Oryzias latipes: one gene and its partner. The protein of the gene in region 2 purifies or fractionates together with the protein of the main gene of each other region. This does not show direct contact. Links are inferred from orthologs where the notes say so. Each region holds a gene or a part of one and is shown on either strand. Other genes may lie near its edges.

The links.
Region 1: the proteins of adar (region 2) and dhx9 purify together in Homo sapiens (affinity purification with western blotting; 3 studies listed by BioGRID and IntAct, with this or other methods). This does not show direct contact. The link is inferred for Oryzias latipes from reciprocal best matches to the Homo sapiens genes ADAR and DHX9.

What each region holds. Positions count from the first base shown.
Region 1 is NC_019875.2:12,671,709-12,676,163, forward strand, and holds the start of dhx9 (ATP-dependent RNA helicase A), read right to left. Parts: upstream 2,924-4,455; 5' UTR 2,826-2,923; intron 2,316-2,825; 5' UTR 2,245-2,315; coding exon 2,134-2,244; intron 2,064-2,133; coding exon 1,923-2,063; intron 1,695-1,922; coding exon 1,589-1,694; intron 1,517-1,588; coding exon 1,362-1,516; intron 1,189-1,361; coding exon 1,040-1,188; intron 580-1,039; exon of another isoform or gene 520-579; intron 434-519; coding exon 387-433; intron 1-386. UniProt on the Homo sapiens protein: Multifunctional ATP-dependent nucleic acid helicase that unwinds DNA and RNA in a 3' to 5' direction and that plays important roles in many processes, such as DNA replication, transcriptional activation, post-transcriptional RNA regulation, mRNA translation and RNA-mediated gene silencing.
Region 2 is NC_019874.2:18,636,804-18,640,510, reverse strand, and holds part of adar (double-stranded RNA-specific adenosine deaminase), read right to left. Parts: intron 3,569-3,707; coding exon 3,441-3,568; intron 3,360-3,440; coding exon 3,177-3,359; intron 3,067-3,176; coding exon 2,954-3,066; intron 2,343-2,953; coding exon 2,215-2,342; intron 491-2,214; coding exon 166-490; 3' UTR 1-165. UniProt on the Homo sapiens protein: Catalyzes the hydrolytic deamination of adenosine to inosine in double-stranded RNA (dsRNA) referred to as A-to-I RNA editing.

The DNA of each region.
Region 1 (4,455 bases), on a different chromosome or scaffold from region 2:
AGTCATCTCTGACATCACCCGTAGGATTCTGCACAGCAGTAACGAATCAAAATCGATTGGTTTTTGTTGCATCCACCTCAACAGGGTTGAAGGCACAATGGGGCGGGAGAAAGTAAACTATTCCTATTTGAGGGGTGATTCGTTTGTTTCATATTTATTAAAAGAATTGGTTTCTGCCGGTATTAGTCTTTTGTCATTTAGTTTTAAGAAAAATTTCAAAATGCTAAAAAATACAAGCTTTCTGATACTTAAAACACAAGAGAAAAGGTTTTCTATTTGTTAAGGAAAGCACCAATTTCTATTTACTGGCTCTGCTAAAATAAGCGTAAAGAATCTCAGCACAGAACCGTCTCTGTGGTCTCATGTACAGACATGTCAAAACTTACTTCTGCCGAGCTTCCTCACGAACAGCTGCATCTCTGCTATGAAGCTCCTGCAGACAAATAACATGGCAGAGTTACATCCCGTGCCTTTCAAAGTAAAAGCCTAAAGCCAAGCATCCCTCAGGAGCAGACTCACCTGATGTGTCCTCAGAAAGAAACCTGGGCGTTTTTCTGCCAGACTTTCAGGTTTTAAAGCCTACAATGAAGAGCAACACCACAAATCACGACCAGAGACCACGGAGCTGCACCCATGGGGGGGCTTTAGAGAACCTAAACGCCATCCCCATGTATTTCCTCAGCGTGGTCGTGAGTTCTAGTGTCGCTCTGCAGGCTTTGAGTTGAGCATGTGGCTGTGAGGGCTCTCCGGTGTAGCCGGCACACGCAGGAGCTCTCTGGGTTTGCAGCAGTCCGGCAGAAAAACACACAGGTGCTACCAGTGAGCGGCGGGCCCAGGAGTGTGGCCCCTTTCAGAGGAAACATTTACCAACCCGAGAAGCTGCAGCTTTTTAATTAGAGTTCATTTGTCAATACCCCACTCTCCCACCCCCACCTGACAGATCTGAACAGCAGAAAAGACCAGATCCAGACTGACGAGAGACCTGGGCTCGTCAGGCTGGATCTGGTCAGACGGCTTGTAGGGGAGCGCTGATCCAGACCTGTTGTGATCGGGTCCCACTTGGCTGTACGTGTACTCGGAGGTGATCTTCTCCTGCTGGAAGAACCGGTTGAGACGGGCCTTGGCGTTCTCCAGGGTCCAGTTTCCGTGCAAGTTTGCATTCAGGTCTACCTCCTCGGATTCCAGCGTCTACAACAGGAGAGCCGCATTAGTGGGACCGGTACTAAGGCAGAGCAGTCCCACCTGTTATGAAGCCGCCTAATGTTGTCACAGTCATGTGACTGCAACATGTGACAACACAGCTCAAAAGGACCGGGATCTTCTTGAAAAGCAGCTTCATGGCACATAGCTGGCTCCAGTACCGCTTGAGCCTCCTGCTCATCCCTCCGGGCGTAGTACTCCTTCAGGTTGGCTCCTCTGTCCCACTCAGCCCCTCCTCCTCCTCCCCCATTGCCACCTCTAGGAGGGAACCCTTGTTCAGTCTGTCCTGGAGGTGCATTGATGAAGGCATCAGCCTCTGAAAACAGAAACCACAGGATGAAGAGGACTGAAGTCAGGGAGCAGCAGGTTAGGTGTGTTCGGCTCAAACCTTTCTCCACCTTCACCACCAGGTGGGGGGGCAGCGGCCCGCTGGCTGGGAGGGTTCCGAAGCTTCCCGGAGGTCCTTCGGGCTGGTTGGGTTCTGGAGCCACGGCCTGGGTAGAACAACAAAAGGCCGTCAGTTCCGGTTAAGTGTTCGCTGCCCACTGGTAAACTTTTGACTAATCCTTGCAGTCTCCCAGTCTTTATGGATCTTGACTTTCTAAATGGTTTTCTGTTCTGGCCTGAACATAGCTGGATGCTCTATTGATTGGAAAGATGTTCCTCTGGTTTGCTTTGTTTTTACATCTCCTTTAAAAAAGCGTAAAAAAAAGCTTTCTGACCCCCAGAGCTGGAACCTCTTCAGCCTTCATCTCCCCGACTCGGACCAGATAGTTGACAAAGTCCCTGGCGGCGTTGGTCTGAGCATCCTTCTTGCTGGTGGAGTTTCCCATCCCCACATAGGTGAAGCCATCCACCCGCACCTTCAGGAGCAAACAGAGACGTTACGGGAGAGTCTGGTTACAAACCAGCTGGCTGTGAATGCAGACCGACCTCACACATGAACTTCTGCCGGTTTTTGTTGCCCGCCGCCCGGATTTCGTAGTTGGGAGTCAGCTTTTTCTTTCCACACCAGGCGTACAGGAAATTCTTGATGTCCGCCATAGTGGCGAGCTTCCAGCTCCGCGTGGGCTTTACCTGCGAGCTTCAGGTGTGCCCTGGTCCCTTAGTGTTGCCTGTAAAACACAGAGGTGGCTCTGAACAACCGCAGAATCACTGGCAGGCGTCACATCAAAACATACAGTGTTGTTCAGGAAGCTACAGTAAACCGCTGCCTGCGTGCGTGTCGTAAAAGAAACCCTAAACAGAAAAACATATGTGCGCCGACACACACACAGGGAGAAACGATAACAACACTAACGTTACTAAGTCACGGGGGAAATGTTTGACCGTTTTTATACTTCAGCTAGCCACGTGCAGCTCCTATCATCAAGCAATAATGTGATCCTCCATGCAATATTTTTCCCCAATTGATCCCACATTGAATCATCAGTTGCAACTGAGACAACTACAACGAAAATGCTAGTATGCTAACGTTAGCTTCATTCATCAACCGGTGTAAACGTTGACAGACGCATTGAGGCTAAACTAACTAACGCCAGTAAGACACGAAGTACGTATGCAAAATAAATATTAAAAAAGCAAACATTTTCATTCTAACATCAACGACTACATTCAACACCTACCGTCCGCTCAGTCAAGTCTGCAGTGCAGATTCCTGCAAAGCGGCAACAGCGGAAGCTTTGAACTCTTCTACCGCGCAACAGCGCCACCCTCTGTTCTGGAGGTGAAATGAACTGTTAGCTCCTGGCAGTGAGTTGATCCTTTTTTATCAACGCCCCTCTGCATGATGATTTTTTTTATTCTACTGGGATGAGAACTAGATTTCTGTCTTTTGTCACTCTAGTTGGTTTCCTTTACTCAAATTACATTGTGGTTAACATCAACCCATTGTCCACAAGGATTATAAGTGGCCACTGTGTCATAAACATTCATAAAATCAGTGTAAGTTTTTGTTGTTGTTGCTGTAATCAAATTTAAATTATTAAAATTATTCCAACCCTGCGAGAGACTGGCGACCTGTCCAGGGTGCCCCCTGCCTTCGCCCACAAGTGGCCGAGATAGGTTCTGGCAGCCCCGTGACCCCGAAAGGGAGCAAACGGAAGAAGATGAATGAATGAATGAATGAATGAATGAATGAATGAATTAACGAATGAATGAATGAATAAATGAATGAATGAATGAACGAACGAATGAATGAATGAACAAATGAATGAACGAACGAATGAATGAATGAATGAATGAATGAATGAAAGAACGAATGAATGAATGAACAAATGAATGAACGAATGAATGAATGAACGAACGAATGAATGAATGAACAAATGAATGAACGAACGAATGAATGAATGAATAAATGAATAAATGAAAATTTTTCACAATTTCTCCTTCATGAATTCAATTCAGCATTTATGTAAGTTCCATAAACAATCAGAAGTTCAAATTTCGAGTAACAACTATGGAAATATTAATCTTGCTTCTGTGTGATTCATATTTGGAGCACGAAATATGGACTCCAAATGTAAATTATATTTTAAATCAAGTCAACAAAAACCTTTTATTTTGTTACGTGGGATGTTCCATTGTTTTTCTCACGAATAAATTTTGTTTTAACAAATCAGTTTATTTTTATAAAACAAAAATCTTCAAATGACCAAATCCTTGTCTAATTTCTAAACTTCTCATCTGATTTTAATTTAAGAAAAAACCAGATCTCTCTTATAAAATGACATAGCTGTAACATGACCTGCATTGTAAGGTTTATTAGCTTAAAACCATAGATTTTTATTTCATTTTTATTTTTTCAGTGTCAACCGAAGATTTAATCTACAGAATCTACAGAAAATCTGTCCTGTTTATAGTCCTGATAAAACCAATAGTATGAAATAGAATTGCACATTTTTGCTGCTCTTTGTTTACTGCTGTAGACAGGAACCTCACAGGAGAGAAAACCACGCTTTCTCTATCCATATCCAGTTTTTTGAGGTGGTCAGTCGCTGAGCAGAGTAGCCATAAACGCCTGTAGAGGCTCTGGCAGAAACCTGCTGTAGTCACAGAGACGGTGAAACCAGTGTGTCTTGTTCTAAAGCCCCATCTTACATATTCTGTCTTTTCTTTTCAGATTCAAACACTGATCCAACCAACAGACTAGAAAAACAATGATACTTTCATTTATTTGGCTCTGAAATAATACAGATCAGGTAAAAACTCTATAACAACATGACAAAGAAAAGAAGCAGGAAGGAGAAATTACTG
Region 2 (3,707 bases):
TGTATGAACTTGTAGGTTGTTCTAAACTTTTGGCCAATGCCTTTCCAACTTTCCTTGCCTTTCATCATTCCATCTTCCTGGCCTACACATCTTTAACCCTTTCAGCATCTCTCCTTCCCGTTTAATCCCTGCATGTTCATTCAAAAAGAAAAGAAAAGCACTGATCTACGCCTCTGCCGGCTTGTAATCCACTGCCCCCTCGTTTCTACCGCCCCCAAACTCCACAGAGGTGCACGCTCCGTTGTTTCCCGTTCCCTCCACAGACTCGAAGCTCTTCTCTTCCAGCGGCTTGCCGATCCAGGCTCCATAGCCGTGGACGCTGAGAGCTTGAAAGAAGTGTTGTTTGGCAAGTTGGAAGGATGTGGCTGATATTTTGGCCTGAGCGTAGGAGGGCAGGGACAGGAGGTCAGCGCGATTTGACTTCTGGCACATAGAGCGGAACAGGCAGAACAGACGGGACTTGGAGACCCGGGACACCGACTGTTTGTTCCTACAGGGGAGATAATGAACAAAACTTTAGCAGGTTACTGATTAACAATGAAAATCAAGTAAACGGGGGAAAAAGGCATGTTCATTAAAATCATACACTGATACATTTTTTACACTTAGTGCTGCTGAGTGAGACTCTATCATGACCTAAAATGTCAGTTTTGTTCTTTTCATGGGTCAGTGTGTGGCTAGGATTAAGAAAACTCTTTCTCCACATTTGTTAGGAAATTTTTCAAAAAAAAGGTAGAATTACTTAACAAAAAGAAAAAAAGAATAAACTACACTAAACTACCCACAAAATAACTTAAATTTGAATTTTGTTTTCATGATAATATGCATCTTTTGTAAGGAAAAATTCACTTCTTATAAAACAAGAGCAAAGCAATGCTGCCATCTGTGGTTTTCTTCAGATCATGTTGACGAGCCAGCATCCTGCCATGCATGACTCGGCATCGCTGAAAATGTTTTGCAGACAAATATCAATTCCTCACTGATTTCAGTTTCTATTCTATCCCATCTAGTCATTTTATGCTTTATTATGTAACAGGGTGAAACTATTGCTTTTGTTTTTAACGTTTTTTTAATGAAAATCTTTATTTTGGTTTTTAAGTTTGAAACTTGTCTTCATTCCGTAAATCCCTTTTTGCTGCAAATATATGATAATGTGTTTTTTTTCCTTCAAGTGTGAAGTAGCTGGAAAGAGAATCATAATGAAGACATGCCAGAGAGGATGGCTGTCAGAGCCCTGCCAGTGGAGGTATTGGGGGCATGTGCCACTGGGCAGAGGCCCCAGGTAAGAGCTGTCCCCATGTCTGGCCTGAGAGTACCATGGGGTTCCTCCAGTAGAACTGGAGGAAGTGTACGTGGAAAGGGGGGCTGAGAATCTGTTTAGACCAGCGGTGCCCAAATCCAGGCCTCGAGGGCCGGTGTCCTACATGCTTGCAATCATCGTGCCAGTGAAGCTCCATTCTGGCTAAACACACCTGTAATCAACAGCAGATAAGGAAGAGTTTCTGGAAAACTAGCAGGAGGCCGGCTCCTGAGGCCTGGATTTGGGGACCCCTGGCTTAGACTGAGGACCCCGCAACACAGCCCTGGATAACCATTAGGGATATGCATTGGCAAGAGTCTGGCGATGAGATTCGCATCACCATAAACATATCACCAATGTGATATATCCAAAGACAATATATCACAATTTTTTTTGAAAGAGTACAACTTTTTCTGAATATTAATACATCTTTCATGTGAACAAAACTATAAATAACTATAAACAAAACTATAAACTTGATAAGAGAGGGTTAAGTAATGTTAAAGTGTGCATCCTCACAAATTAACGCACGCCGTGGAAGCCTAAATATTTGCTTATAAATATTTAACCCTTAAATAGTAAAGATGGGGCTGTGACATATATAACACGCTCTTTGACATACCGTAACTCCACGACCATTCATGTGATCGAAAAAAAAAGTTTCTTATCGGCTTTTCTTATTACTAAAGTGTTGCATAACAGCGTAAAACTGTTTCTCTCAGCAATAGAATTAGCTGGAATAACGTTAATTGCATAAACGTTTGAAGAGTTACAGTAGTTAAAAGAACGTAAACACTGAAGCAGAAGCTCTAGAGTAAAAAGGTTAATTAAAAATGATTTTGGCTACATCGATTTTTTCCAACATCCCTAAAACCATAAGAAGGTCCGTGGTTTATACTTAACCCAGGACATACCCATCTAGTTTTCCTTTGGTCCCATCAAGGACTTCCACATTGTACTGGTCTGGAAGGCTCCAATTCACACTGGACTCTTTGGTCTTGCCTGTGTGACGCGTGGAGTCGTACACACTCACTCTTCCCACCTGGAGTCGCCACAAACAAAGCAAAAAAGTGTTAACCGTGCTGATTTTAATCCAAAAACCCAAAATATTTGTAAGCATGAGTGACACCAATCAAAATGTGCAAATTAGCTTTACCAGTAGATTTGATTTATTGATTTATTTCAAGCATCGTAGTCAAAGCAATAAACAATTTACACATATTTATCAAACTCATAACAGAAATTATGAAATGCATAGATTAAAAAGACAGAAAATAAAACAAAACAAAAACATCACTTAAATCACCTTTGCTTAATGAAATACAGAGATAATTAACTAAAGTATAAGTAGAATTTGATTTATTGCTTGAAAAGGAGTGGGAAGAAGCAAGTTTATATAATCCCACCCCCACCCACCCCCTGAACAATGAAACAAAAGCTAACAAGTAATTTGGCTGCAACTTCAGTTTCTCTTTTGTTCTGGTGATGTGACAAGGTCCTTTCAGTTAATTGATGAATGAATCTAATTTACATGATAGAGAAAAACGTTTTGCAGGACAAACAAAAGTGCTTCATCAATTAACTTAATGAGAATAACATCGATGGTCCTAATTTATCACCAGGCCTGCAAGTGTCCGTTAGCTGTGCCGTTACCTCGGGATGGTTCAGCGTGAAGGGATGGGGCAGACTCTGTGCAAAGGCTTCACCATCTCTGGCAAGGCGACAGCAGACAGCACGGGTCAAATGACCGTGGCTGTACAGATAACCTGGAAGATGAGTAAAAAGAAATAAGTCGGTAGAAAAAAGCAGTGTTCACGTGACTTTTGTGCCAGAACATTAGTGTCTCAAGACTATTTTTGCCAAAGTCCATAATTACCAAGGGTGATTGACTTCAGGTAAATGGGATGCAAGAAATGTGTGAGCAGTGCCCCCTGGAGGCCAAGCACGTTCCAGCGCAGGATCTTATCGCTGCAGCTCATGGTTCGCAGCCTTTCACCATGCTGAATGCCATCCCAAGTGGGTACAATGTCACTTGACTCCACTGGGATGGTTCCCTCACCTGGAAACAGGATCTCTTACTACCAAGAACAGGAAGTCGAATTGCTTTCTCCTGTACTTCCTTTATGACAAGACATCTCACCATTCTCCACTTTCGTTCGAAGTTTGCCCTGCTTGATGTTCTCAAATAGAGGCGAGTGGCCCTGGACTTCATCTCCCGTCTCACTACATGACTTGTCGAACAAAGCGCCATCTCCGCAAGGTGCCGTGCTGCGGGTGAGAGTAAATTTAAGGTTGTATAAGAAATAAAACCACCATAAGAGCATCTAAGATCTTAAGGTATCACTGACATATTCAGTATGAGTTAAAAGAGAAACATAGATGTTAAGGAGGAAGTAAACTTTTCACA